Xenopus tropicalis: one gene and its partners. The protein of the gene in region 1 interacts with the protein of each later gene in a biochemical or structural test. Links are inferred from orthologs where the notes say so. Each region holds a gene or a part of one and is shown in the gene's direction. Other genes may lie near its edges.

Region 1 (3,098 bases):
GGTTTAGTTTCCCTTTAAAGGTCAACTGCCCCCTTCAAGGTTCCTTTTAAAAGGAAACATTTAATTTAGGAACTCCCAGCACCCCTGATGGATTCCTAATGTATTACTTGTTCAGGAGGCTTCTGGCTCTGCTTGCTGAGAAGCACCCCCTACCTACCTACCTACCTACCCTTCCTGGATACGACTTACCCCTCTCCTGTGCCACTGCTCACAGCCCAGTAACTTCTTTCCTTTGCTCTTAGATAATATTTCTGGTTGGACGAGGAGGGACGGTCCCCGACCTGAGTAAGCTCTACAAGAACTGCCCCAAGGCAATGAAGCGTCTCGTGGCCGATTGTATCAAAAAAATGCGGGAGGAGCGCCCCCTATTCCCTCAGGTGAGGTGCATAGACCTGCATTGCTCTATTGTACAGTGCCCCCCAATGTCTGGGTACTGTATCTGTAACCTTGTTATGGGCTAAGGGGGCCCAGCCTGAAGGCCAGTTAGGGGGGGATTTGGGGTGAGTGGGTATTTGTGCCCTGGGTACCCCTGGAACTATAGCGGGGTGACTGTTACCCCAATGTTTCTATATATCTGTAACCTTGTTATGGGCTAAGGGGGCCCAGCCTGAAGGCCAGTTAGGGGGGGATTTGGGGTGAGTGCTTATTTGTGCCCTGGGTACCCCTGGAACTATAGCGGGGTGACTGTTACCCCAATGTTTCTATATATCTGTAACCTTGTTATGGGCTAAGGGGGCCCAGCCTGAAGGCCAGTTAGGGGGGATTTGGGGTGAGTGCTTATTTGTGCCCTGGGTACCCTGGAACTATAGCGGGGTGACTGTTACCCCAATGTTTCTATATATCTGTAACCTTGTTATGGGCTAAGGGGGCCCAGCCTGAAGGCCAGTTAGGGGGGGATTTGGGGTGAGTGCTGTGCCCTGGGTACCCCTGGAACTATAGCGGGGTGACTGTTACCCCAATGTTTCTATATATCTGTAACCTTGTTATGGGCTAAGGGGGCCCAGCCTGAAGGCCAGTTAGGGGGGGATTTGGGGTGAGTGCTTATTTGTGCCCTGGGTACCCCTGGAACTATAGCGGGGTGACTGTTACCCCAATGTTTCTATATATCTGTAACCTTGTTATGGGCTAAGGGGGCCCAGCCTGAAGGCCAGTTAGGGGGGGATTTGGGGTGAGTGCTTATTTGTGCCCTGGGTACCCCTGGAACTATAGCGGGGTGACCGTTACCCCAATGTTCACTGCCAGAAGGCTAGCTATGTTCATATGATGTGCCAGGCTATAGGTGGCAGTGCCACACAGTATAACATGGCAATATATTTATTTTCTGTGCCAGATCCTCTCATCTATTGAGCTGTTACAACACTCGTTACCCAAAATCAATCGCAGCGCTTCGGAGCCGTCGTTACACCGCGCCGCACACACAGAGGACATCAATTCCTGCACACTGACTTCCACCCGGCTGGCAGTTTTCTGAGGGGACAGTTGCTGTGACTGTGGCACCATCACCAAATTCTCCCCCCACGCCAAGTGCTTTATCCCAAAGGGGAGATTGTCCAGTGTGTCAGGCAGGGGCCCCTGAGCCCCAGGATATCGCCACTGTGCTTCCAGTCTCACTGTGTGACACCCCATCATAAACTGCTGCCCCCCTGTGGGTTGGCCTCCCAGCTCCTATAGTCACTGCGCAATAATCTCGGCCCCCGGAGCTTCCAGACCTGGAATTTTCTTCATTTCTGAAATCCCAGATGAACTCGGGGGGGGGGGAATTTTCTCTGTGGCAGAAGCAGCGCTGGGGGTGGGTGTGGAATGGCCTGGGGGGTCCTTAATAGACTTGATTTGCACATCAGTTCATGTACGGGCGGGGGGGTCCCTGTGTTCCTATACAGCAGCGGCACAATGGGAATTGGGTTTGGTTCCGTCTATCGCAGGAAAGCCCTGGAGGTCTCTGTGCCCAGTGGGGACGTTGGTGCAGAACCCGGCGGGGGGCCCAATACACCAATGTACATACAAGGTCCGACTGAGATCCCAGATGCGCACTATAAGGGGAATCGGAGTGATACCGTTTGTTATTATATGATTTGGGTTTTAATTGGTTCTTTTACTGCTTCTCAGCAGCTGCCTCTATTGGCTGATTTGCCTTTTTGTTATAAATTAAATGCGTCTTACATTTTATTTACATTCTGTTTCCCGTCATCCAGCTGGGGGGGGCACAGGGCAGGCTGTGAGAGGGGTTTGGCTATAGTGGGGTACCCCAGTAGTGCCGGGCTGGGAGGTGCCAACATACCTGTGCAGAACATTAGCCAAGTAAGCACGGGCAGAGAGTCTGGTTACAGGAGAAAATATAAAGTGGATAATGTACCCCCTACTGTAAATGATAAGGATATTAGCAGTCACTGAGGGGTTCTGTGCCCCCCATATAAAGGCACAAGGCTGCAGGCTGAGTTATACAGGGAACTCTGAGTATCACTCATGTATTATAAGGGATAATGTACCACCCCCTCCCTCCCCCCCCCCAACCATAGAGGAGCGGTGTCTCGGTTTCTAAGACCATTGGAAATGTGTTTTCTGATGGTCTTAGGCGACCCCTGTGAAAGGGTCATTCTACCCCCAAAGGAGTCCCGACCCCCAGGTTGAGAACCGCTGTTCTAAGGGCAGTCAGGTTATGGGGTTCCCTACCAAGAGAGGGGGAATGAGTGATACATTGGGGGTGGGGAGGAAAGGGGATCTCACCATCAGCATAGGAAGGGGCTCCTTACTGTAAGGGCAGTCAGGTTATGGGATTCCCTACCAAGAGAGGGGGAATAAGTGATACATTGGGGGTGGGGAGGAAAGGGGATCTCACCATCAGCATAGGAAGGGGTTCCTTACTGTAAGGGCAGTCAGGTTATGGGATTCCTTACCAAGAGAGGGGGAATGAGTGATACATTGGGGGTGGGGAGGAAAGGGGATCTCACCATCAGCATAGGAAGGGGCTCCTTACTGTAAGGGCAGTCAGGTTATGGGGTTCCCTACCCAGAGAGGGGGAATGAGTGATACATTGGGGGTGGGGAGGAAAGGGGATCTCACCATCAGCATAGGAAGGGGTTCCTTACTGTAAGGGCAGT
Region 2 (4,868 bases), about 120 Mb from region 1:
CCTGTAGTACTATCTGAGGGTCAGTTAGTGTGAATTTCTCATACAGAGGCACTCAGGCTTATACACAAGGGGGGCTTGTATGGACAGATGAGGATTGCGGATCACCTGCAATTCTGCACACTGCCTAGGGTTGGGGCCCAAAAGAAAACTATTTGTGGGAGTGCTGGGGCCCCAAGTTATGTTCCAAGATAGTGACATCTGGGATAAACAATTGTTGTTAGTCTTAAATACTCTTGTAACTTTAGAACGATCACTATCACAACAAGGTAAGTTCCCCCAAGCAAAAACTGAACCATAAAGGGGAAATAGAACTGAAGCCATGAATCCTGAAATCATCTTATTTAGCTCAGCTAACCTGGGTAGGAAAGAGTTTAAGTTTGTTTTTTCAGGACCAGTGTATATTAAACTACCACGTAGCACTTGTCACTGCCTGATGAACTGAAGAAGCATGACTGCTGAACTAACCTAACCAGTCTTCACTTTGCCCGTAAGCAATACACAAAACTGATGATAATTACAGTTGCAGATGTAAATATTGTTATACAAATTGCAGGACACAATTTAGTATTATTACCCTTTGTTTATATAGTGCCAAAACATTTACACTGCACAGTTATTGTGTCTAATTCACATAATTTCCTGATCCTTGATCCCAATTAATAAGAGAAGAAAGGTAAAAATATGCAAAGGCTGGTATTTTCTCCAGAAACGTGGCAACCCTAAATGGAGAATATCAGTGGCATATCTAGTGTGCACCAGTCCCACCACCACAAAAATATCTTCAGAGGCTGCTTCCTATATAGTTATAAAGTCTTCCCATCCCGCTTGCAAGTATCAGAGGGGCTGGGGAGGGAAGACTTTGCAACTATATAGGAAGCAGACTGCAGTCTGCTTTCTCTATATTTACACCACTGAGGTATATGTCAACGGCCATGCGCCCCAATTGTGCTCCTTGTAGTCTACTGTCTGTAGTCTGCCCTATTGCTGAGTATTTTGGGTGCATTTTCCATGGCAAGGGTTAGCTTTAAGCCAGGTAAACAGAGAGCAGGATAACTCCAAAATATTTAATGCATTAACAGGTCTCACACAAAGGGGCATAACTAAAAGGGAAGCTGGAGGCCATTTGGACACTGACTTAAAAGGCATGTGTACCTTGAATGTGAAACATTGAGGTTTGCTATGTTCCTTTTATTATGTTTCAATAAATATTGACTTTTTACACCTATATTCTAAATCCTGTGATTGCTGACATTACTTTTACTATACTTTGATCATACGGCTCTTGCACCCAGGTCCTGACTCTGTTAGTGGAGTGCACCATTATGTCCTCTGACTATATGATTATATACGAAAAATGTTAAACTCCCAAAGTACTTTTAGTTATGCCACTACAGACACACTAAATTCACTGCAGTGATGCACAGCACTTCATTTGCAGTTAAAAAGCTATTATTTTTTCATGGCTCAGTCAGATCAAAAATACTACACACTACTCCCAATTTCATCAGGAGGCAGAAGCCAGGTAAGCTGTCTGTGTGCTTTTCCAACGTGTAAGGAAATGAGAGGTTTATCTGTTGGATTTATTGCCCTTAATGTCTTGTATGTGTAAGGTTGCTGAGCACTGAAATGCTTTCAGTGCTCAGTGCTACCTTTCACAACAGTTTGCATAGAAACTACTTCACGTTTAGCCTTGCAGCATGGAGGGAATTCTCCAGCCAATCATTAGTACAGGACTCAGAGGGTCCCGCCCACACAGCCGAAAAACAGGAAGAGGAAGCAAAACAAGGGGACAGGGAGAAAAGCAGTACTGGAAGACAGAGGCTGCTGGAGAGATAATATCAGAATCCAGGGGGAAGCAGTGTGCAGCCGTCTGGGAGTTGCTTCCTTCAGTTTCCTGGACGTTTTGTGTGTGTGTACAAGGCATCAGCAGCCAGTGTGAGCCTGTGCAGCAGCCGGACAGCCATCTTGACAGGGAGAGAGAGCTACAGTGAGAATAGGAAGCAGGGTTCCTTCTGAACCGAGTTATTTAACCCCTACCATGCCAGTGACACTGGGATTTCTGCAACCAGCCATTTAGCTGTGAGTCTGTGTTAGGTCTATGGACTGGGGAGTCCCTATGTTGCTGGATGTTTCCACAGCACTCGGAAGTGTCTCCATGATTTACTATAGCTGCCGCCTGCTAGGGTTCCATTGAGCAAGTGGAGCAGCTGAGGCGACTTCAGGGATTAAACTGTGAGCTCATCAGCACTCCAGCAGAGTAAGTAGGGCTTCCAGCCCAGCCTTTCACACATCTGACTGCACCCAAGGGAAGCCCTTACTGCCGTCACAGTGGGACACAGGAGAGCTGCTACCTTGGGGCAAGTTGAGCAACTTACCTTAGGTGGCAGCACCCGACAAATTGCCAGGGGTGGTAAAAAGACTCCTGGTAACTTATAAAAATCGGAATTTTAGTGCAGAGATCACTATTATGCTCTCTGCACTAGTGATTCAGCCCCCATCAACTTTCTCCAACGCAAAAAAAAAACAAAACATGGGGGGGGCTGGCATCACCTTGGCCGCCCCAGGTTGGCACTGAGCCCGAGACGGCGCTGCATCTGCATCCTGTGTTTCCTCCACACTAACAGACAAAACTATTTTCCCTAGTATAGCTTTCAACACATAGCAGAATCTGTCTTTCCAGAGAGCCTGTTGTTTAGGCTGCTGGTGCCATTTGCAGCACCTTAAACTCTCGTTAAAGGGCCCCACCCCGTTAGTATGCACTATAGCCAGCTGACAAGGAGTTGGGAACTTAGGTGTGCGCACAAGGAAGTTGGTAGGTTCATATAAGTACTGTTCTCAAGGTGTTGTTATAACCTTGTCAGTAAGGTATTATGCTATCTGACCACTTCCGCCTATATCACTGTGTAACCAAAGTGTCAGTGTCTGGTTTGACCTTCTCAGTTCAGCCAATCATACCTGATGCCTGCTAGTATGGATGTCACCTTTAAATTCACCTTTAGTTTTGTGTAGACAGTGGTATTTTGAGGCAATTTACAACTAATATTCACAATTTTCAGTTCCTTTTTTAATCATTTAGCTTTTTGTTTGTTGGACTAAACACTAAAAAGGTGGCCATACATCCTTTAGACAGAATCGGAAGCTTATTTGCCCATGTATTAGCATGAACGACGGGCCAGATCTCGATCGGGCAGATTTGATTTTTCTGTTAGATCGGGGACCACATTGGCTTGTTAATGTGGTCCACGAACCTAAGGCGCCTATTCCCACTGTTTTAATTCCATTGTTTGGCTCTAGGGCCAAACAACTGAATTAGCCCGATATCACCCACCCCATAGGTGGGCATATCAGGAGAAGATCCACTCTCTTGGCAATCTCTCCCAAACACTGTAGCACAGTGCAACAAGTGAGTGTATTCACTAAACAAAAGGTGTGGTGATTGGTCATTGTACTTCCTACTTTAATATGAAGCTTTTTTTTATATAGGTATAATTTTATTAACAACAGACAGACATTTATGCCAAACATTTGCAGAATACATTAGTTTTAGTTGGTTGGCCAGTGATACAACCATACTATGTGCAAATAGAGATATGCATATCACTTTGGTTATAGTACATGTTATGTAGGTTCAGTCCAGTCCTGCTTCAATCCACGGGGTCCAAATCAGGTCAAATTTAGTCTGTGTTCCTCTCGCTTCTGAGGTAAGATTAATTAGTGGGATTGCCTGGTTTACCAGTTGTTTCCATGATTTTATGGTCAGTAGATGTGGTCCCATCCAGTGCATGGCAATATGAAGCTTTTTAATGCTTAATTTATTAAATATAATTTTGTATGCTAGAAAAAAAGAGCTACTTTCTGTATTCTTTTTAATCCAGATTCATCCTCCAAAAAAATCAATGTTCCTTCCCAAATATTTTACAATCATTGTCATCAGTCTGAAAAATGATTTCATTTTTTAGGTTCTTGTAGTCCTATATCTCATTACAGAAGTGAATAACGCAAGCATTCACAAAATCATAGGCTGTCCTTGAAGAAAAAGAAGCCAATAAACTATATATAGTTTCCCTAGGTAAATTAAACACCCTCATAAAAAGTTCCCACTGAATTTAAAAGCGCAAATGAGGCATTGGAATTAAAAAAAGCCTTAACTTCTGCCACATTTAGTAACCCGTAGCAGCCAGTAGAAGCTACCTTGCTTGCTATGGGTTACTAGACAAATATCAAACACTGTGACAGGACTGATGCTGTTACATTTTAAATGAGACATGTGGAAACAGCTTAGGTTTATCAAAATAGAAATTAGCAGTATATATGTATGTATAACTCCCTGAAATTATTCTGTTCTTTTTTAGATGGCAGATTCATCCCCTTCAGCAGTTTTCAAGTTAGAGGAATTCGATAATGAGGAACAGGGATTACCTTTGCCTTTTGTGGATCCCCCTCGTGGGGCAGGCGTTCGACAACCTGTAGCTAAGAGTTCTCCCAGCCTGCGAAGATACCCAGGTGATCTTCTGCCAAGAAAATATGTATTTCATCTTTCTTCATAAGCATTATGCCATCTGTAATATTGAAATCTGACTTGCTATAAGATAAAATATATAGGCAGGCAGTGACTTCTGGAAAGTATGTTGTAAATGTCTTAGTGATAAATAAAGGGTAATAATAACAGTGCTGCTAGCAGCCGTTTTAAACTAGTAAGTGAATTATAGCATATACTGAAATAGTTGTACCCCTGTAAACAACAAAAGCATAATTAATAATACTACCTCTATCACAGGGAAGGAGTCACGTTTACGCACTGAGTCTGCTTCAGAGTCCAGTGAGACAGACAAAGTGGGCGAGCTCCATCCTTTCCGTTCCCGTTCCCG
Region 3 (5,152 bases), on another chromosome or scaffold:
GAGTGTAACTAAGTTGGTGTGAAACATTAGGCAGTATTTCATCATTAGGATGTGCTGATGATAGTGAGTATTTATCCCTTGTTTGTTTTCTTTTTTTATTTTATATGCAATAAAGTTATAAAAAAAGTTATAGTCCATGCAACATTCTATGGGTGCCATGAGCAGTATTAAATCGTTGCATCACAGTTTGCATTATGTCAAAATGTAACATAAGCTCAGCTGAGTTTCAAATGCAAAAGAAAAAGGATAAACCTTTAAAAGGAGGCCAAAGGTTTTGGTAGGTGTGGTAGGATTGGTAGGTCTGGGTTGTGTGTGCTGGGTTTACATGGATGGGTTGAACTTGATAGACTCTGGTCTTTTTTCAACCCTATGTAACTATGTAACTATAGGTCATGCTGATCATGTTTTGCTGATCATTGTTATGAAAGATGTAAGAAGGGTTTCATTTCTGGTGTCAGTATCTCTTAAAGGGGGCACAGCAACTAAAGTTGCTATACATCTGTGCAACCTTTGCGGCTGTAGCATGTTCAATAAATAGTATGCTATTCATGGTGAGAATGGCACGCACAGATCCCTACCATTAGATTTAACTGGGTTCCATGTGTGGGAAATAGCTACTCCCTGCGACAGAAGCATGTAATGCACAAAGGGTTCAGCATGCGTCATTTCTGGGTTCCCCCAAAGCAAATAATACCAAACAGGGCTCAGCATTCTGGATAAACCACTTGGGATGCTGGGAAACAAATGACAACCAAAAGTTGTTGAAGGAGTGCAATGGATGTATGTCTCAAATTTTGGCACAACTGGGTTGTGTTGTGCTGGTGCAGACATCTCTTAAGTGGGTTTGTGCCTTATAAAGGTACTCATTTTTTTAAAGGTGTACAATATATATATTGAAATAGTTATGATTTGATTTCTAGCACTAAGTATCAGAGAAACACAGCTGCAAAAAGTGAATAATGAGTTTATTAACCCCAGACTTGCCAGTAATAACACTGTAAAAAAGGACAATGAACACTTCATTAAATCCAGACAAGCCACAATCAAAGAAGAAAATGACCTATGAGTACAATAACCCCAAACACACCAGCAAAATCACTGCAGAAAATGAATAGAGTGAAAGAATAATATCACCCACATCCACACAAGCGTAATACCACAAACTGTTCTTCTCTCCCAGTGCTCCTATACTGCTTGTCTCTCTCTGCCTTTCTCTGCTTAGCTGAAAATGCTACATAAAGATTGCCAAACATTCCACATAAATGGCACAGCCTTATTAAGATAAGTAGTTTTCAGCAGCAGGTGTCAGTGATATTCTCCCAGTACCCTGTGGGAAAGTCCGACCCTGGAGTCGCTGTGCCATTTAATGCTGTTGGTTACTGTGCAACTACCCATCCCTCCGCATAAATCAGATTTGCAGAGGGAGGCCAGGGAGACTATAAGGGTTACAGTGAAGAGAGATCTCCACCCTTTTAGAAGTGCCACAGATTCCTCAGCAGATTTACAACAGAGTTCTATGAATTCTGCTGAAAATCCACCACTAGTAGTTACTTGCAGTGCCCAATCTGTGGTTGATTCTGGTTTGTATAGATAATGTTGTGGCTTGCTAGTGGTCAGTCAGTTAAGGTATCATGCCCATAATGTCCCAGTCTGAAACTGTATGAACCTTAGGGACAGGCAGGCATGCCAGGGATTTACTTACACTGTGGGTACAATTCTGAATAGTGAGCTTTGTACATTATTAATATATTATAAACAAGCCTCAGCAAGTGCTGGGATGGATATTATCCACTTTCAAAGCAGCATACAGGTTTAACCCTTCACACATGCTGTGTAGTAGCTGTTTAACCCTTCAACAGGGGCTGCTGTAAAGTGGCACAAGCTGACACTTGTTTATGCCAATGCCTTAGTGTACTCACATAATGTATGTTTAATCTCTGCTTGGCCATTCCCAGAGATTTCAGTAAGGCACAGAATAAATAAAGCCACACAAAGCCTCAGTAAATAGCAAAATTCTCTACTTTATTCTAATCTTCTAAACTGGTGCCAAGATGGGTTTGGCTGGGCGCAGCGACCAATGAAACTGGCAGAGCCGAGGGTGCGGCTCCCTTTAGTTGCAGGCACAGAAGAGCGACAGCAGCCAGAAGAACGCAGAAGTTGCACAGTGGCCGCTGCTTTGCTACTAGTTGTAGTAGTAGTTATCAACCCCAAGATGCTAGTGGATATTTCCCAGTGGAACGGACCCCTGGCTCTACAAGAGGTGGAGGAGCAGCCAAAATACCCCCTGAAAGTCGCTTTTGGATCTGTTTGCGTGGAGGAGTTGGGGCAAGTGCTGACACCCACCCAGGTACACTTTGTAGTGCTCGTAGGGCAGGCAAGCGTTCAGGCTGAGACCCCCATCACCCTGTAACTATCACTCACCTTGATGTAAAGTTTGGTTCAGCGCAGAGCTAAACTAATAGGGATGTGTATAAGGAGGAAACTGAATTAGTTCTGAATTTGAAAAATTCGATTTACCTTACAAATATCGTAGTACTACTAAGTAAAAATGTATAATTCTGTGCAGAAAACACCTGTCTTTTTTAGTAAATCTGAGCAGTTTGGGGGAGATAATTACCTAGCTATGGACACTTGCACAGGGGAGTGTAAACAGTTGGTCATTGTCCTCCCTTTATCTCATGAAGCAGCACTTGTGCCATGTTTTCAGCTCTCTTTGTACCACAGTAAGTAGGTAGGTGTGCATGTATGGTAACTAATCATAGTGGTCATTTGTAAAAGCACCAGAGGCAAATACAGGATTACTAAAGGTGGCCACACACGTAGCAATAACGATCGTGACGTTCAGGGCTGAATCGTCAGATATGGAGGTAGAAACAATAGAAATTCTACCTCCACCTGCCAATTAAGCCCTAAATGTAGATTTGAATCAAAATCTTTGAACCTGGCCGATCGACAAGACAACCGATATCCGTAGCCTTTGCGATATTGATCGCCTGTTTGAGCTGCCATACACACACTGAATATCATACGATATTCAATACAATATCGGTGCGTGTCTGGCCAGCTTTAGAATGTGTCCCCCTCCCCACCATCCAGGGGCGGGCCAAGCCGACCGGGCACCCTAGGCAACCCGGTTGGCCACCTGACCCCCCCCCCTTCCATGCTCTGTTACACATGCGTAGTTGGGGGAGGGGGTGCGAGGGTCATTGCCCCCACCGCTAATTACAAGCGACGGGGGCAATGACAAAGGAGGAGGACTAGGAGTAGGCAGGAGAGGCTCACCACCTTGTGCAGACCTTTGTGCTGGAGGATATAAGGATCCCTGTCATTACCATCTACGATAGGTCACACTATGGGGTTGATTCACTAAAGTGCGATAAAACGAGCGCTATTTATAGCATGCATTAAAAATGTTATCGCTTCTTATTTTTTGTGACTTAACGCTCGATTCGCTAAAAGGACAGGCGTCATAATTAAGACACAATGTTCTTTGCGTTATTTAACTTGCGATGAACGTTTTTCTTGAGTTAATTCCCGCCACATGTGTTATTTCCCGCTGCGCGCAATATATTTCGCCGCTTGCTATATTAGCACATAATTTTACGCACGTAACCATTACTTTTGGAAAACTACTGTTCTGATAATTACCGTTTCCCTGAAAACTGGAGGCTGCATCACTATAGGGCCAACACATACTTGAAAAAATCCCACTGCAAAGTCCATGTTGTGTTGCCAAAAGCTCACGAACCACAATTATCTTTAAAGTGGACCTATCACCCAGACATAAAAGCTGTATAATAAAAGTCCTTTTCAAATTAAACATGAAACCCAAATTCATTGTTATATTAACACATCCAAACCCATTATAAAGGCATTTAAAAATCCCAGCTGTCAATCATATATTGCTTGCCCCGCCTCTGTGCCTAAGGCATAGAGGCGGGGCAGCCAATAACTTTAGCTTTCCGTTCAGCACTACCTAGATGTCACTGCACATCTCACTTTCCCCCTCCCTCCTCCTCATCTAATTGTATAGCCAGTGCATGGGCCTGGGTATCAGGTCCCCCATTCTGGCACATAAACAAGATTTTGGCATGATACAAAGCTTGTCTTCATAACTGTGTCCACAAAATGGTGCCTGCCTGCTTGCTTTGATCGAGTAATTCCACAACGGAATGAAACAAGATTTATATTATTTATATAGAGTAAGTAAAGTTTATTTTGCACAACTAACAATATACAAAATAATTTGGAGTTATTTCTTAGGGTGACAGGTCCCCTTTAAGTACCGCCTGCCTCAAGTAGGTGTTAATATTCGCACAGACTAATGCGATATTTAGCGCGTTTAATGCTTCATATGTGTTTGTGAATCATGCATTAGTATTATTTCTATGCAAGAATTAACCCAATGGGAGGTAAATAACACATTGCATTTTTTTGTGCATGCGATATGCATCTTAATGCATGCGAAATTACTTTGATGAATCAGGACTTAATTATCACATGCTTTTTAACGCAAAAAAGCATGTGATAAGCATTATCAACCTTTAGTGAATGGGCCTCTATATGTACAGGGCTCCCTTGCACCCTGTGCCTTCCATGGTCTCCTAGTTAGGAGCCAATTGGCACATTGCAAGTGCAGAGAGCACAGTCGCTTCCTGTTTTATATAACTGGCTTTTTTTTGCCTTATGGCTGGATCAACCCTGTGCCCACACCTAGCCCAGCCAGTAAATCACCATTTAGGGCCAGGCTGCAATTATAAATTTACTGGCAATAAATGTGTAATACTCTATAAAGCCACACCTTCCTTGACCCTCTCCGGTGCAGGATACCCACTTATAAAGATAGACCCACCTATGCCCTGACCATTTTCCCACCCATTCCATCCATTTCCTCTCCCAGTCTATTTCCCCACCCCGTTTGCCCATTTCCCTGCCCTGTGATGTAAATGTCCCACCTCCGTGTGAAGTCACCACCCAATGACCAGTATTATTTTACAAAAAAGTTGGCAACCCTACCCACCCCTCATGAATATAGCACTGCAGGAGCCGTACCGTAAATTTGTGCAGTCCACACATTCTTGTGTGCACACTAGTTGGGGCCATTCATTTGAAAATTACCTGCACTGTCCTGATTTGCCAGACCATTTTTTGT
Region 4 (3,629 bases), on another chromosome or scaffold:
GAAGGATCTGTAGGCCAGCTGGTTCTTCTAGTGTCTCCAAGCCTTGGAATTAGAGGAGTCACATGACAGTGTTTGTTAGCCAGCACAGCTGCACAATTTGACATTCGACCAATCAACTAATTGGGAATTCCCCAAGGCCTCAATCTAACTAATCCAAATCAAAAGCTTTCATGTGACCTGGGATTATTTAGACACATTGGAATAATAGATGCTCTCGGTTTTTGTTATGTAAACCTTATCATTAGTAGTGGAAGATTAACAGATTAACTTCCTGCAGACGGGAAAACACTTTCATGTAATATCTGTGGCAATTTTGATTTATATATCAGGGTGGTGTATAATTTTACAGGTAACCTGCAAATAAAAAAACCTAAAGCACTTATTTCTCCATTCAGACACATCTGACCTTTGGCAAGGAGTTCACAGAGGCCGTAGAAGCCAAACAGGTGGCCCAGCAGGAAGCGGAGCGTGCCAGGTTCATTGTGGAGAAGGTACATGAGTGATCATTTAGTAAAAGCCAAAGTTAATGGGTTACAGGAAACAGATGTATAGATAACTAAATGGTATGAAAATGTTTGTTTCACTATCAGTATTCCACAAGACATATTGCCTGTATGTATATGTACAGGAGTGTATGTATATGTACAGGTTTGTATGTATACTGATGTAGCACTGAACAATTATATGCATGTTTTGTAGGGTTTGCGCAGGAGTAAAATATTTATATTCCCAAAAGAAGTGTGTTTCAGATCAATCAAGATATATACTGTCCATAATGGAATATGCCAACCCTTTTTGTAATAAAGCGGAACTCCACCCAAAAACAAACTAATCTCTTTGAAAAGTAAACATAATTTGAAGCAACATTGCAAAATACATCCGTAGTCGACTGTCCTCAGCCTGCATCCTCCAAATCCCACAGTTCCCTGCACACGTCGTCAATAAGGAAAGGAACATTGCAGTGCAATGCATTGTGGGTTATGTAGTTCCTGTATGCTCTCTAAGCTTTGGAGAAGTTATTACAAATTGTAACATCAATGATTTAGTCCCTCCTCCCCTGCCAGGATTTCACATGATGCAGAAAGAGAAGAACTGTGTTGTAGCTGAATGTTAGCATATAAAGATGGTATTTATTCATACAGTTCGAAGGAACAGATTACAGTCATAGGTATATTAGGGGTTTCTGTGTTGTGTGGAGCTCTTTAACAAATTTTAGTTCGTAAGCCAAAGTTCCACCTTAAAGGAACAGCTCAGTGTAAAAATGAAACTGGTAAAATAGACTGCGCAAAATAAAAAATGTTTTTAATATGACTAGTTAAGCAAAAATGTATTCTATAAAGGCTGGAGTGAGCAGATGAACATAATAGCCAGTACACTACTTCCTCCTTTACAGCACTCTAAGCTGTTACCAGTTGGTAACCAATCAGTGATATGAGGGGGGGGGCATATGGGACATAACTGAACTGTTCAGTTAGTTTGCTTTTTAATCTGACCCCCTGGTCGTCCCCCCCACCCCCTCTTCCAAAGTTAGTGACAGACTAAGGTTAGAGTGCTGAAAGCAGGAAGTAAAGTTCTGGCTATTATGTTAGACATCTGCCCACTCCAGTCTTTATAGCAGGGGTCCTCAACCTTTCTTACTTGTGAGCAACATTCAAATGTAAAAAGACTTGGGGAGCAACACAAGCACCATAAAAGTTAATGGAGGAGCCAAATAAGGGCTGTGATTGGCTATTAGGCAGCCTCTATGCACACTATCAGCTTACAGGGGCTTTATTTGGTAGGAAATCTTGTTTTTATTCAACCAAAACTTGCCCCCAAGTCAGGAATTCAAAATAACTCCCTGGTTTGGGGGCACTGAGAGCAACACCCAAGGGATTGGGGAGCAACATGTTGCCCCTGAGCCACTGGTTGGGGATAACTGCTTTTATAGATTACATTTTTGCCTAACTAACTATATTACAAATATTTTTTATTTTGCACAGTCCATCTATTTTACCCGGTTTCATTTTTACACTGAACTTTTCCTTTAAGGGATTATTGTGCCTGCCTTCATAGTTCCTATTGCTAAATGAGATGACTGAAATCTTACCAATTACTTTGTATCTCCTTTCCAGGCTGAGCAGCAAAAGAAAGCTGCAGTGATTTCTGCAGAAGGGGACTCCAAGGCAGCAGAGCTCATTGCGACGTCACTGGCGGATGCAGGAGATGGGCTTATCGAGCTGCGCAAACTGGAGGCCGCAGAGGACATCGCGTACCAGCTGTCTCGAGCTCGTAATGTCACCTACCTTCCCTCAGGACAGTCAACATTATTACAGCTACCACAGTAATTGGATGATGTGTTGTCATGCCATTTATTTTTTTTTACGTCTGACCCCTACATAGGTCTTTGTTAATTGGCCAATTTCCCTTGGGAAATGTTACAGAAGATTGTGTATGAAGGTGAATCTCCTACAGAGCCCACATAATACCCTACATGAAATGGACTTTAGCCACAGAACTGTTTGAATCCTGCCAATATATTTCTGAATTTGAATTGAATATAATTGTATTTTCAATGGAGGGCATAATACATTTTTGGTTGAAGCACTTGTTTATGTCTAAACCTAAAATCTGGCCTTCTGTCACTAACAATAAAAGTTATCCCTCAGAGGATATTTCAATAATGACATTGTATTATGAGTCAGATTACTTATGTAGGGATGATCATGTGTTAATCACCTATGAGATGTAACTTTGGGGGCCCAGGCCCTCCCTAAAATTGTTTGTTTCTGGACCACCATCCCCTTGGCCAAAACTGTGCCCCCCCCTCCCACGCAGCCATAGGGTGTATTCCTAGACCTAGAGTACAAGAGAGATTTGTGTAAAATGTAAAGGGATAGTGACTAAAATCTAGCAGGAAAGTGTCACTGTGGCTTTACTAAGCAGCCTGGTTTTAAGCTTGTGATTCCCTCGGGTCACCCTGTCACGTATTGACTAAAGTCACTGAGACAACATAGCTAGATAGTGAGTTTTCTGTTCTTTATCATTTTCTTCCTTCCCTCTACACACTTCACATTCTCTGCCTTTGCTCAGATACTTTTCTGCACCCCATCACCATAGCAAAAAGATCCCTTTTAAAGGAGAAAGAAAGGTAAAAACTAAGTAAGCTTTATCAGAAAGGTCTTTATCAGCCATAAGCACTCACAGAAACGCTGCACTGAGTTCACTGTCAAAAGATTTGTTGTGTCCGTTTTCCTCTCCCAGAGACACGCAGCTCTCTGCTCTCTCCTGCTCCCCCTCCCTCAAGAATGCTAAGAACTCACTCCCCCCCTTAGGAATGTGGATCTGAGCCAATCAGCAGGAAGCTGGCTCATAGTCTAACTATCTGAGCATGTACACTTGGTCTGGGTCTCGGTGCAGAGTGAGGCATTATGGGAACTTTCTTTACACAGCTCAGCATTTTTTCTTCCTGTCTGGCTTCTGATCTTCTGAACAGGTAAAATATGGGGAGACTTAAGGGCACTATTGAGAGAACTGAAGGTATGCCTGCAGCTTGAGATTAACTCTTTATTAGCCTTTCCTTCTCATTTAAAACCCCAGGTTCCAAACATTCTAGGCATAAACATTATAGATTCCAAACCTGTATTTCC
Region 5 (3,623 bases), about 39 Mb from region 1:
TAAGGATAGGCTGGGGCATATGGTAAAAATATTGCTTAGCAAAATGGGCACCAATCTATTCAGAGAGATATAACCATATATTTTATAGAAAGAGCAAATGTGTACAACTGAAACACCAGTTTCAGTTTGCTTTAACAAATTCTTTATTTATTTTTTGTTATTGGAGGCTGGTAATATTGTGCATTTTCCAGCAATACAGACTGACTGGCAGAATTTTGTTAACTGAATGCTTTACTACATGATTCTATACCACCTTTGCTGATTACCTGTATCACTAATTTTGCCATCTACAGAATGACTTACAGATACCTTGGCCCAGGTCACTTCTCTTACATCCAGAATGAAACATTATTACCTTCCCTACATCCCCTGTTTCATTCTGCCTCATTGTAGATGAACTTGCAGATGCAACCCTGCACTCTCTGCCGTTTGACGCAATTCTTTTGTGCCATTGATTTGCTATGAAAGCTGCAAATCAATGTACTGTAGCCGAATAAAAGCGATTTCATACTTCTCACAAAAGAAGCCATGTCATTATAGATATTGTCTCAGTAACTGGGGGATAGATCTGCTTTATGATGCCCTTAAGTTCATGAAATAACTGAGAAGCCATTCTAGTAGTCAATACGGCAACCTTTTATTGAATGTGCTGTATTATAGCTTTGATGTCTGGGAACTGGAAATATTTTGAAGTGACATGCAACTCTCTGAAATGCAACATTAGAACATGTAGGTCTCATGCAGACAGGAATACCTGGGTTTGCTTCAATATGTTCTGTTTTGAAATTGTATATTGAAACTGCACATCATTTCAGGGCCACCCAACAGTCTCAGGGTCTGAGTCCCCTTTTGTTGGACCCCTGTTGTGCCAGAAGGTTATGTTGTGCCACAGGTTGCCTTTGATAAGGATAAAATTCATGCATAGACATCAGAAATATTGCACTAGATACATCTAGGATGTGGTGCATCTTACACCAAAGGGGCATTTACTAATGCTCAAATTTTTTGCCATTCAGGTTTCTTGGCACCAAAATACAAGCTTTTCATTTTTTTTTGCAATTCATTATGTGACAAAGCTGCAACAAATCCGAAAGCAACAATATGCCATCTAAAACCTGCTGAGAAGTCAATGGCAGATGTCCCTTTTACAAATGGAAGATATTTCTTTGCTTTGTGGTTTTAGAGGTTTTTGTTTTTTTTGACGCTGTCATTTGTGCCACAATACAAAAAAAAAAAAGTTTTTGCATTTTTTTCTGCATCTTTTTTTGTTCATGGTTCTTCAGTTCGGATCTTTTTAAGAATGACTGATATTCGTGGAAATGAGTTAAGTTGTAGTTTAAAAAAACCTTTAAAACCACAAAAATCCAAATGCTGATAAATGCCCCCCTAGAGTGGTGATTTTAGACTTTGAATGTGAAAGGGTGGGCTGTATTTTAAGCGCAAGCTGAGCAAGCTAAGGAATCTAGTCACTGAGGTCAAATGATATAATAAATATTCTATGTCTTAGGTTGAAGCCATGATGAAGACTCTCTCCAGTGGGAACTGCACACTCAGTGTCCCAGCTAAAAACTCTTATCGGATGGTTGTCCTTGGGGCATCCAGAGTTGGCAAGAGTGCCATCGTTTCTCGCTTCTTGAACGGACGATTTGAAGACCAATACACACCGACCATTGAGGATTTTCATCGCAAGCTGTACAACATCAGAGGAGACATGTACCAGCTAGACATTCTAGATACATCTGGAAACCATCCATTCCCAGCCATGAGGAGGCTATCGATTCTCACAGGTAGGTGCACAGACAGATTGGGCTAAACATGAACACAATTATTATTGTAGGTAATGCACAGTGGTACTGACATTTTAGACTGGTACTAAAATGCACCACAGCAGTTGCCTATAGCAACCAATCAGATCCTTGATTTCCTTTTGTAACTGATCAAAATTATTTTTTTCTATGAAATGATGTTATTAGGAGTTATATGGTGGAAATGGTCCCAGTAGCAACTGTAAATTTTCATTAAGCACAAATTCATAATCTTGAACTTTTCTGCAGAATTCCCAAGCAAAAAAGGGACTGAAACTTTAATAGGTGAAAGGCCCCCTCCTGGCCTCTCTCCTTGCAGCAGTACCAGTGCCTATTCCATAGTTTAGGTGTGATGTCCAAGGAGTAAAAAAAATCTGATCGCTAAGGTGATGACATAAACATATCCTGAGAGAGTATTTAGTGTGACAGAATATAAACATTCATACACATGCTATTTTTGTTTCTATAGGGAGGATGTTTTGGAATGCTATATATCACTAGAAAATGAAAGAAAACCAGCATAGTGAGCTGTGACAGTAACACTTAAAGCTCCTCATTCTCCATCCAGTCATTGTTCTGCACTTAATAGAATCCAAGGGGAGTACTAGAACAATCTTAAAAATCAGGAACCAACACTATTAATGATAGCCAGGATTCTTCTGACTTCTGCTCACACTGAGTCAAGTGGCTCCTCAGCTGGTGGTTCAGCATAGCAACTGGTCCAATACACTTGTCAGCTCTTTGTTGTGATTGGTTTGCAATTCCCACTATTTCCTTGTTACCCGTTAACAATTTGATTGCAAGGGATACATCAAGGTCTGCTATGTGCGAATTAGTCTGCTATGTGTGAAAAAAGTAGCTCTGGACTAGAAAGATTGGAAAGCTGGGAGGCTGCAAGTAGATGGATGAAAGATAGATGGAAATGTAATTTAGGAAGACAGGGAGTTTCAGTACAACTATGTGTGGGAATATTCCAGATGACAGAAGAGCTTAGGAACTGTAGATCAGCTACCACTGCAGACACGTCCTGAATGAAGGGATTGGGACTGCATAATTATATGTCTGCCCTTTAGGCAATAGAAACAGCAGCTCTTGTGGGGATATAGAGGGTACAGGGATATTCACGACTGATGGGCAATTGTAATAAACATGTGCAAAATATATCATCTTCTGAAAAGAGTTGGGGGCCACAAAAAAATTTGCATTTGTGACTAGACTCTTTTAGTTACTCCACTGGTGGCCATGTGTATTTTACTAAAAAGACTGGTGACATAAATAGGGGCATATAGTGTGACTTTGTGCAGCAAAAAGTCAGAAGTGTGAGCAAATAGCAGCAACTGATGGGGAGAATATGAAGGAAAGGTTTATGAGGACATGTTTGTGCATGTGTATATCAGCCAATACTTGCCTGTGATAGGTAAACTGAGCCAGACACCTTAAGCTTCGGGACAAGTGTAACCAATTCAGGAACCACCAGACCTGCTTTTATGCAAAATGACAGGAATTTTGGCATTGCCAATTCTGATTCAACCCTAACCCTTTTGCCAGCACAAAAGAATTGAGAATGGGGTGATTGTAAAGCTTGTATGTGCCCCTCAGTTATGTTACATTCAATCATTAATTACTCCAGCAGCTAATGGTTGGGTATATGTAAGAGCTAACAAGAAGACATGTGCCAGCAGTGGAGAACACAGTCTAACTCCAACATCTTCTGTCTTTCCAGGTGATGTGTTCATCCTTGTTTTCAGCCTGGACAACCGGGACTCCTTTGATGAAGTAAAGAGGCTTAGAAAGCAAATTTTGGAAGTCAAATCTTGT
Region 6 (4,407 bases), on another chromosome or scaffold:
CATAAATATCAATGTTCTAACATCTCATGGAAAGCCTTTCTAGAAGTGTAGTGGGCAAAAGCAGTTTTAGCAGCAAAGAGAGGACCAACTTCCTATTAATTCCCTTAGGTCTTAATGGACATGTCAACCCCAAAAATAATTTTTTGCCTAATAAAAGAAAACATAATTCCAAGCAACTTTCCAATTGAATTGAGTGAATTTATTGAACATGTTTAACAGTTATTTGTAAATGTAATTGCTATTGAAAGCAGCATTTGCTAAACCCTGGTTGTTACTTTTTAAACAATGTTGCAAAGGTCGGTCTCCTCCAGCGAGTCAGGTCTGTCATTCTGCTGCCTTGTGTTACATTGTTTCAGGAGTCAGAGCCACCAGTGCAGAGAATAGAGAAGGACAGGCAAACACTACTTCTTATAGCAATTTTATGTGTAATGAATGTATACTGCAATGTTGTTTAGAATGATATTTTCTTTTATAAGGCAAAAAATTATATTTTGGGTTGAATTGTTATTTAAATGGCATGCTAGACATGGTAGGCAAACTCCTGTGCAATATTTTGGACATCTACTTGCAAGGCAGACCTGATAACATAACAAAAGTGGCCTTATGGTTAAACAGAACTAAAACTTGTCCTTACCATTAAAGCCTTCCCAATGGAATAGAGGCTGTTATAGCAGCAAAGGGCAACCAAAATCCTATTAATACCCTTCATTTTGGAATGAGATAGTGGACAGGCAATTGTCGCCACCACTGTATATTATAATTATATATATTTATCCTTCATTTATTCATTGTTCACAAAACAGTAATTGAGACCTCAGTAGCTTACTCCCATTGATTTGTACTTTCCTTGTGTTCCCGTGAACGCAGGTACACAGACTACCAGTGAGGGCTCTACCTTTAGTGAATGATCCTATCAAGGGATACGAACACAACATTAAGGATATATAGTGGGTACAGTTATAGGGTTAACCTACTGTAAGAAAACAGGGGGTAACCAGGGGCTCTAGGATTCCACAAGAACCGCAAAAATCAAAGTAAAAAAACATGTTTATTAAATATTACATTAAAAGATCTCCAGTGACTCTGTGTGTTTCATGACCCCAAGGGCACTTAGTCATGGGCATCCTTGCGTGCCTGGATCCCCCCCCTGTTTTCTTGCTGTTGGTTAATCCGCTCTCTGAACTGAGGGACCGTTGCTCCTGGACCACCTTCTCTACATGGTGAGTTTTTTTAAACTGTGGTCTCCTGTGGCCCTTTATGTTTTTGTATTACAGTTGTAAAGGGCCACTTTCCGGAGGTTTAAAAACAATATTTAGTCACCTGTTCATTGCATCTCAAAGTACCCTGAATGCTACAGTCTTACAAATGTAGGAAAAAGTATAATGACAGCCTTGGCCACATCAATTGCATGTCAATATAACATCATAAATTCTATATACATTCATACATTATTTGATACTCTTTTGAAATGTGAAAAATTAGAAAAAAACAGGAAGGTTTCTGTTTATAAGTTGTTGTGATCTACTGACAACTCCAGATCTACTGTCCAGTTATGAACTGTCTTCCATGCAACAGGAAGATTCATTAACAGAGCTGGGACCCCTGGATCTACAGGTATTGGACCCATTATCCAGAATGCTCGGGACCTGGGGTTTTCTGGATAAGGGGTCTTTTTGTAATTTGAATCTCCTACCTTAAGTCTACTAAAAAAAATATTTAAACAGTAATTAAACCCAATAGGATGGTTTTGGCTCTAATAATGATTAATTATATCTGTTGGGATGGAATACAAGGTACTGTTTTATTATTACAGAGAAAAGGGAATCATTTAACCATGAAATAAACCCAATAGGGCTGTTCTGCCCCCAATAAGGGGTAATTATATCTTAGTTGGGATCAAGTACAGGTACTGTTTTATTATTACAGAGAAAAGGGAATCATTTAACCATTAAATAAACCCAATAGGGCTGTTCTGCCCCCAATAAGGGGTAATTATATCTTAGTTGGGGTCAAGTACAGGTACTGTTTTATTATTACAGAGAAAAGGGAATCATTTAACCATTAAATAAACCCAATAGGGCTGTTCTGCCCCCAATAAGGGGTAATTATATCTTAGTTGGGATGGAATACAAGGTACTGTTTTATTATTACAGAGAAAAAGGAAACTATTTTTAAAAATGTGAATTATTTGATTAATTGAGTCTGTGGGAGATGGCCTTTCCGTAATTCTGTAATTTTTAACTTTCTTGATAATTGGTTTGTGGATAAGGGATCCATACCTGTACTACCAAATCTAGACCTGCAGATCAGTTATGAACTATCTTCTTGGTACCACTGCACTGACTACCTTTCTATTTCTCTTTTATGTATAACTGATAGAAGATAGAAACTAAGGAAAAAGGAGGGATAAAGGATTTGGCAGTAGGAAGGCTGAGGGCCGTCTAATTAAAACTAAAGATCCTGAATGTATTGGATGTAAGTCCAGAAAGTAAGTAAAACCCGCATCTGGTTTATGTATTGTGCCTAAGCCAAAACATTTTCCAGTATGGAAAACAAGTGCCACTAGCGGGTATATTCTCTCTGCTGTTGTGGTTCTGTTACATTAAGTGCTCTTTGTCTTTCAAGATACAATAACATGTCTTCCCAGGCAGTGCTGTATACAGTAGTTATACTCTGACAAAAAAACAAAAATATACAGTCTTTTTGCTGCATCCATGCCATTCATGTTACATAATAAATCATTGGTTTTACATTTTGTGTCCACGTACTTTCAGCTGCAAGAATGCTTTCTTCACCGGTGCCCTAGATCCCTGGCACCACCCCATCACTTGTTACCATAGCAGCTCTGAAATTAATATCTAGACAATGCAAGCACATCTTCTTAATGATTCTTCAGATCCTGCATTTGTATTCATATAGAATATCTAACTCCCTTTGTTTGTTGTTTAGTCTTCCGCCATTGTCTGTAAGTATTAAATCCCTCAGTTGTGGACATTAGGGTTTAGAATTTAGCTATCAGTGGCATATTTGGGTTTTATCCCCCTAACCAGTGATGCTGCTTTGAATACACTGTTAGCAGCTGTCTTGTAGACTTTGTTTTTAATATGAAGCAGATTAAATGATGCTGTTTATAACAAAAATAGAACATATGAGCAAATGTAGGGGGGTGCCCTTTTCATAACTGGAATTGCCTAAACTATATAGCATTGCTGACACAGGGGCCACATCATCATGGGATTCTTTATAATGTCAAGCCTCATACTTTGTGGCAACAGTTTCTGCACAATAATGCCCATATTCACAAAGTGAGGACAGCACAGAAAGCCTTTCTAGAAGTGTAACGGGCTAAGAGGACCAACTTCTTATTCATTCCCTTAATTCTTAAATGTCCAGATACATTGGCCATTTGACGTATCTGCTTCCAAGAAAATGTCTTTTACATGTTCCTCTATCTCAGTTCAAGTCAAGACAACTTAATGTTGCATGATTCTCTTTATCTTGCTCTAGATTGCTCTAGATCGCGATGGCCAGGATCTGGTTGCCACTCTTGGCTCTCCTGTCATTGGCTGCCCATTTCTGTACACTTCAGGCTGAGGAATGTTCCATAAGGAAACTCTTCAATGCTAATGATGAAAAATTCTGCAGGTGAGACATTTTGCAGAAATGAGTCCAGAAATAATGAGCCACAGATTGTGTTTCCTGCCCTACCTCCATCCTCTTTGCTTCCCTGTTGTGGTTTTTCATGCCGTTATTTATCCTTTATTTCTCATCCTTCTTTTGCCTTGCAGTAAAGATTTAGATGTCATATATCCAGATATTGGCCGCGTGTCCTGCATCTATATCCCCAACTGTTTTGACTTTCCTCGGAGCCTCATTAAAGTGTGGGATTATCCTCTCCTCAGATACTCCAAAGCCCAGCCGGTAAGTATACGTAAATCATGGAAAGTGCTTTTTTATTTTCCACCAAAAAATGTTAGCAAGTTTTGGAAGCACAGACACACTGTTTTACCCCAAACAGAGCTTCCAGCAGGCCAGCAGTCCCCATGGGGCTGGCCAATCACAGCCCTTATTTAGCATCCCCAAAAAACGTTTTCATGCTTGTGTGGCTTCCTAACACTTCTTTATATCTGAGTGTGGCTCATGAGTAAAAAAGATTGGGGATCCCTGCTCAATACCATGCATATGATAAATAGGAGAGTACTGGGCATTTTGAAGTTCAAAAATATCAGCAATTCTTTACCACTGAATAAAAAAAAAAAGTTTGCTGAGTCCTAAATTTTTCACTTGTTTTTTTTTTCATTTTGCCCTATTTATAGAAGTACATGCCCAATAACCACAACAGAACTCAAAACTGTTTTGTCAGTGCAGACCTATGTCATTTTGTGTGGAGACTTTGTAAAAAACTTC
Region 7 (4,407 bases), on another chromosome or scaffold:
CTCTGTTAATTACTGGTGATTTTGAAGATTACATTTAGTCAGTTTGTTTCTCTACCGGACTATTCCCAGCAGTGCTGCTAGGTTAAATATTTAGCAAAAATACATAAAGGCAATTCCAACTTCAAAATCCCTGTTTCTCCTGTTTATTGGAGTAATGACTTTATACTATACTGTACAGTACTTGCTATTAGTTTTGCGTTGAATAACATGCTGACTGTGTGTTGTTTTTGTTTTTAAGCATTTACTAAGCAAATTTCTGTGAATGGACAAGAATATCAGCTTCAGTTGGTAGATACTGCTGGACAGGTAAGCGGCTCTTTGCTTAATCATGTTGCAGTAAAAGGGATAGCAGTGCGAAAATATATTTTGCTTTTAGTTGGAGCTGTTTTATACAGACATACAGGTACTTTATATAGTGTCAGTGTTTGATTATCTGTTAGATTGGATATGCTGGTTTCATAATGTTAATGTTACATTAAAAATGGTGGGCAGGAAAAAAAAATGAGCCAGCAGGAGAAAATACATTTGTGCCACAAATGGAGCCTTATTACGGCAGTTTTAGCAGAAGCCAATAGGGCTGGGTATTTCTGCAAGTGCTTAGTTCTGCCGGCTTCAGATTGAACAGAGCGTGCGCTGGGGGCTGGAGGGGAGCCGGGCAGTGTAGAATGTGCCTGACAAGATTGGCAAAGTAGATCTTGTGTTTGTGCAGCCATTAGTTGTGTCTGGCAAATCTCATCTTTTTGTTTCTTTCTTAATTTATCATTAACCTTGATCTGTGTGCTTCCTTTCAGGATGAGTTTTCCATAATTCCTCAGACATACTCCATAGATATTAATGGATACATTCTTGTATATTCAGTCACATCAATTAAAAGGTAAGGCTGTTGTTTTTGAACCGCATGTTTGATATACTGCTATACAGTAAAGACAGTGCTTGGGAGTATGGGAGGTAGTGTGGTGCTGACTTGGTGTAGTCAGAGATAATCTTCCTTGTGCTATGAGCCTTGGGCAGAATACTATAGAGAGCTTGTGTCCGTTCAACCCCAAGACGTGTCGCTCAAATACAAAACCATTACTTTCAGTTTGACTTGGCACACCGCTGTTTGTGTTGGAATGGTCCAACGCTGCAGAAGCACATGTCCTTTTTGGGTTATTTACTGTTGGCCAGTAAAATATGACTATTCTTGCCAAGACCTTTGAATATTATGATAGTTCTTTGGTTTCTTATTGGTAGTGTGACATTCAAAGGGAAATATTTAAAATTATTCTGCTGTTGGGTTTGTGGGGCTCAGAATTCCTGACAGGCAGCTTATTGCAAGTAAATGTCAGGGTGAGGAAAAACTTCATATCAGGGGATGTGAAATTGAGCTTTCGCTGTATTATTAATTACTCAAACCTTTTAATGAACTAGAAGTGAGGATTTGAACTTAAAGGTCTGAAAACCTCTAATAATGTCCACGTTATTTATGCCATATGTGATTTCATGCTTATTCATTTCTTCCTTTTCAGTTTCGAGGTGATTAAAGTTATCCATGAGAAGTTGTTGGATATGGTGGGAAAAGTTCAGTAAGTTTTCCTTTTTTTGATTTACTACTTATTTTTTTTTATTTTAATTGCATACTACCTTTATTTTGTAATACTTATCTGCCGTTTGCTTTGTTTTAGAGTACCCATTATGTTGGTTGGAAACAAAAAAGACTTGCATATGGAAAGGTTTGTGGTGAATTTAACACTTCCATGTTCTGCTAACTGAAATGTTTATTATGTATATTATGTTTTAGCAAATGAAATAAATCACAGGTTTTCTTGCAGAAAAACTGCAACACTAAACAAGTTTTAGTTCTTCCTCAAACCGCAATACCTTTTTTAACAGAGCAACCCACTAATGGCATGGTCAATACACTTATCTGTTACACTTATCTTATCTTACAATACACTTTTCTGTTGGTCTGTATGTATTAAACCATTTTGGCAGCTAATAATTGTTTGTCAATGTTAATATAAAAGAGTTAAAAAGGAATGATCTCTTTTCATTCTTTTTTTACAGATAAGTATGTGTTCCAAAATTGTGCTTATAGGCAAGCACACAAGTGCTTGCTTTATTCACGATTGTCCTGTGATATTCACATGCTTTAAATATTTAATATAGGGTGATAAGCTATGAAGAAGGAAAGTCATTGGCTGAATCTTGGAATGCTGCTTTTTTGGAATCCTCTGCTAAAGAAAATCAGGTAAGCTTAACAAGTTGAGTGAGTGGAATATATCCATAAAATGTGGTACCTTTTTGGTATATTTTCAATGTCCTGGTGCTGACAGAATACCATGTTATGTGCCGTACAGACACCTCCGTAATGATGCTGCCATCCATAGGGGATATAGTACAAACAGGGGGCCAAACATTACTATAACTAAAAATGTATATGCACAGTAACTAAAATATATACAGTAACATATTAAGTGGATATGTTGAGAGAAAGGAGGTACCTGCCCTGCAGAGCTTAAAATCCAAGATGAAAAATGGCAGCTCTGTTACCACAAATGAAGGCTTGCCCAGGTGTTTTCAGATTCACAAAATTAAAACCAGGGTTTTTAAACCAGGTAAACAAGTTTAGGAATGTCTGTTAAAGGCCCTATTAGTCACATGGGCAAGACAGCATCTAGTTCTTAGCTGTTACTGCTTCTGTTTGTAAGATGATATGATTTATTTTTAAAGGAAAGGGAAGACTTGGATTTGCAACCCTGCTACTGTTAAGAGTATGGGCATATGGGGCATATGGTGCTTTTCTCAGCCTGCGTTTTGAATGGAGGTTGAGAAAAGCATGTTACAATCTGCAGCTTCCTGTAGCTCTGCAGACAGGCACTGGGTCAGCCTCTGTGCAGCTACACTGAGTGGACTTTGGCCTGAGAAATGCAAAAGCACACCTTTTCCAGCCAAAATCTGCTCAGTGTGGCTGCACATAGGCCAACCCAGTTTCTGCCTGGAGCTACACAGCTGTAAAGGGGAGCAGATCCTCTTTTCTACGGGTGCACAGGAGATGCAGACTGAGAAATGTATATCACACAACCTGTGTGCCCAGTGATCACAGGGTCAGCAAAGCATATAAGGATGCAACAGTCTTTCACAGCAAGAAAAAAATTACTAACGGGGAAGTGGCCAAGAAAATCTTGATTTTGGGTGGTTTGGGGGTTAAATGCAAGGGTAAACCTGTTAAGATTTGGGTAGGAGTTAGAAAATTGGGGTGTATAAAAACTAACTCTGTGCCCAGGGCTCTCTGCTACAGCCCCTATATCTACCACAACACTAATGTGTTTTCCAAGTCACTCTGATTACAGATGATTTTATAGGTTGAAAACCCTAGTTTTTAAAATTATCCTAAAAAAACAAATGTAAAAGTTCTCTTTAGTCTTTTTTTCTGCACTAACGCCTATTTGTTCCGCTTTCCCATACAGACTGCAGTTGATGTTTTTAAAAGGATAATATTGGAGGCAGAAAAGATTGATGGCGGGTCTTCACAAGGGAAGTCGTCATGTTCTGTAATGTAATTCCACTACACAAGACGCGGACACTGGGAATATATTCTACTTGAATAAGCAAACTGCCTGTTCTACTTCAAAACTATGCTTTTCTGTTAACTATTTCCATGCCAGAGGAGCCAGGTGTTTCCTGTACTTGTCTCCTCTGGCAAGCAAAGGTTTAACAATGGTAAGGTATGGATGGTCACAGCCTTCTTTTCTTTTTTTTATGGTTTTTCTTCAGATTGTCATAATCTGACTTCTGTGCAGATGATTTCACTGCCATCTTCAAAATGTCTCAATCACAAACCTCTTCAATTTGTATATCATATTTCTTAATATTATGGCCAAGACTTTTACTGGCATTAATTTTTCATTGTAGTTTGTTTATAATATTGTAATCATACAGATGATACATATTGTTACATTACTCTTACTTAACCAGGCTTGAATGTCAGTGTTTCTTTCATTGTTCAATGTAAACTTGTAAATAAAACAGCTGCAGACCTTACAGGTTCCTTTGTATGTGTTCTACAATGAACTCACTAAGGAGTTTATTGTAGAAAAAGAATTGAATTGTCCCTTTTGAAGAACAGGTTGGGGGAAAAAGCTACCTGGGGAGAAGGGTAAATGAGTGAAGAAGCACTGCAGTTCCAGTAGTACGGTTATATAGGGCTGCTAGTTAGGGGTCAGGAGACGTATTATTATATGGGACTGGTATATGCAGTGTGAGAAAAGGAACTGGCCTCTTTCCTGGAAAGAAACCCAGGATTCTTTGTAAAGGAACTAGGAATTGAAAGGAGCGATTTGCTCCTTCAAGGTTTAAAGAAATGGATAAGAAGGAATGTATTTGGCTTCTTTCCACCCATAGGAATGTGCCCTTGCAATTAACTGT

Evidence for each region.
Region 2: of the proteins of raf1 (region 1) and bad, one has a biochemical effect on the other in vitro, tested with the Homo sapiens proteins (2 studies listed by BioGRID). The link is inferred for Xenopus tropicalis from reciprocal best matches to the Homo sapiens genes RAF1 and BAD.
Region 3: the proteins of raf1 (region 1) and pebp1.1 form a complex in vitro, tested with the Homo sapiens proteins (3 studies listed by BioGRID and IntAct, with this or other methods). The link is inferred for Xenopus tropicalis from reciprocal best matches to the Homo sapiens genes RAF1 and PEBP1.
Region 4: the proteins of raf1 (region 1) and phb form a complex in vitro, tested with the Homo sapiens proteins (2 studies listed by BioGRID). The link is inferred for Xenopus tropicalis from reciprocal best matches to the Homo sapiens genes RAF1 and PHB1.
Region 5: the proteins of raf1 (region 1) and rasd2 form a complex in vitro, tested with the Homo sapiens proteins (2 studies listed by BioGRID). The link is inferred for Xenopus tropicalis from reciprocal best matches to the Homo sapiens genes RAF1 and RASD2.
Region 6: the proteins of raf1 (region 1) and pebp4 form a complex in vitro, tested with the Homo sapiens proteins (2 studies listed by BioGRID). The link is inferred for Xenopus tropicalis from reciprocal best matches to the Homo sapiens genes RAF1 and PEBP4.
Region 7: the proteins of raf1 (region 1) and rheb form a complex in vitro, tested with the Homo sapiens proteins (3 studies listed by BioGRID and IntAct). The link is inferred for Xenopus tropicalis from reciprocal best matches to the Homo sapiens genes RAF1 and RHEB.

Annotation. Positions count from the first base shown.
Region 1 is NC_030680.2:153,471,234-153,474,331, forward strand, and holds the end of raf1 (RAF proto-oncogene serine/threonine-protein kinase), read left to right. Parts: intron 1-242; coding exon 243-377; intron 378-1,330; coding exon 1,331-1,471; 3' UTR 1,472-2,170; downstream 2,171-3,098. UniProt on the Homo sapiens protein: Serine/threonine-protein kinase that acts as a regulatory link between the membrane-associated Ras GTPases and the MAPK/ERK cascade, and this critical regulatory link functions as a switch determining cell fate decisions including proliferation, differentiation, apoptosis, survival and oncogenic transformation.
Region 2 is NC_030680.2:35,248,259-35,253,126, forward strand, and holds the start of bad (bcl2-associated agonist of cell death), read left to right. Parts: upstream 1-1,752; 5' UTR 1,753-2,257; intron 2,258-4,352; coding exon 4,353-4,503; intron 4,504-4,777; coding exon 4,778-4,868. UniProt on the Homo sapiens protein: Promotes cell death. Successfully competes for the binding to Bcl-X(L), Bcl-2 and Bcl-W, thereby affecting the level of heterodimerization of these proteins with BAX. Can reverse the death repressor activity of Bcl-X(L), but not that of Bcl-2.
Region 3 is NC_030677.2:165,331,533-165,336,684, forward strand, and holds the start of pebp1.1 (phosphatidylethanolamine-binding protein 1), read left to right. Parts: upstream 1-2,127; 5' UTR 2,128-2,212; coding exon 2,213-2,347; intron 2,348-5,152.
Region 4 is NC_030686.2:14,011,326-14,014,954, reverse strand, and holds the end of phb (prohibitin), read left to right. Parts: intron 1-395; coding exon 396-491; intron 492-2,114; coding exon 2,115-2,327; 3' UTR 2,328-2,666; downstream 2,667-3,629.
Region 5 is NC_030680.2:114,844,169-114,847,791, reverse strand, and holds part of rasd2 (GTP-binding protein Rhes), read left to right. Parts: exon of another isoform or gene 1-1,507; 5' UTR 1,508-1,516; coding exon 1,517-1,787; exon of another isoform or gene 1,788-1,809; intron 1,810-3,528; coding exon 3,529-3,623. UniProt on the Homo sapiens protein: GTPase signaling protein that binds to and hydrolyzes GTP. Regulates signaling pathways involving G-proteins-coupled receptor and heterotrimeric proteins such as GNB1, GNB2 and GNB3.
Region 6 is NC_030679.2:130,094,760-130,099,166, reverse strand, and holds part of pebp4 (phosphatidylethanolamine-binding protein 4), read left to right. Parts: intron 1-1,124; exon of another isoform or gene 1,125-1,220; intron 1,221-1,497; exon of another isoform or gene 1,498-1,614; intron 1,615-2,379; 5' UTR 2,380-2,488; intron 2,489-2,889; exon of another isoform or gene 2,890-2,965; intron 2,966-3,507; 5' UTR 3,508-3,523; coding exon 3,524-3,645; intron 3,646-3,788; coding exon 3,789-3,921; intron 3,922-4,407. UniProt on the Homo sapiens protein: Promotes AKT phosphorylation, suggesting a possible role in the PI3K-AKT signaling pathway.
Region 7 is NC_030682.2:14,441,261-14,445,667, reverse strand, and holds the end of rheb (GTP-binding protein Rheb), read left to right. Parts: intron 1-238; coding exon 239-306; intron 307-791; coding exon 792-874; intron 875-1,508; coding exon 1,509-1,565; intron 1,566-1,664; coding exon 1,665-1,712; intron 1,713-2,148; coding exon 2,149-2,230; intron 2,231-3,449; coding exon 3,450-3,542; 3' UTR 3,543-3,654; downstream 3,655-4,407. UniProt on the Homo sapiens protein: Small GTPase that acts as an allosteric activator of the canonical mTORC1 complex, an evolutionarily conserved central nutrient sensor that stimulates anabolic reactions and macromolecule biosynthesis to promote cellular biomass generation and growth.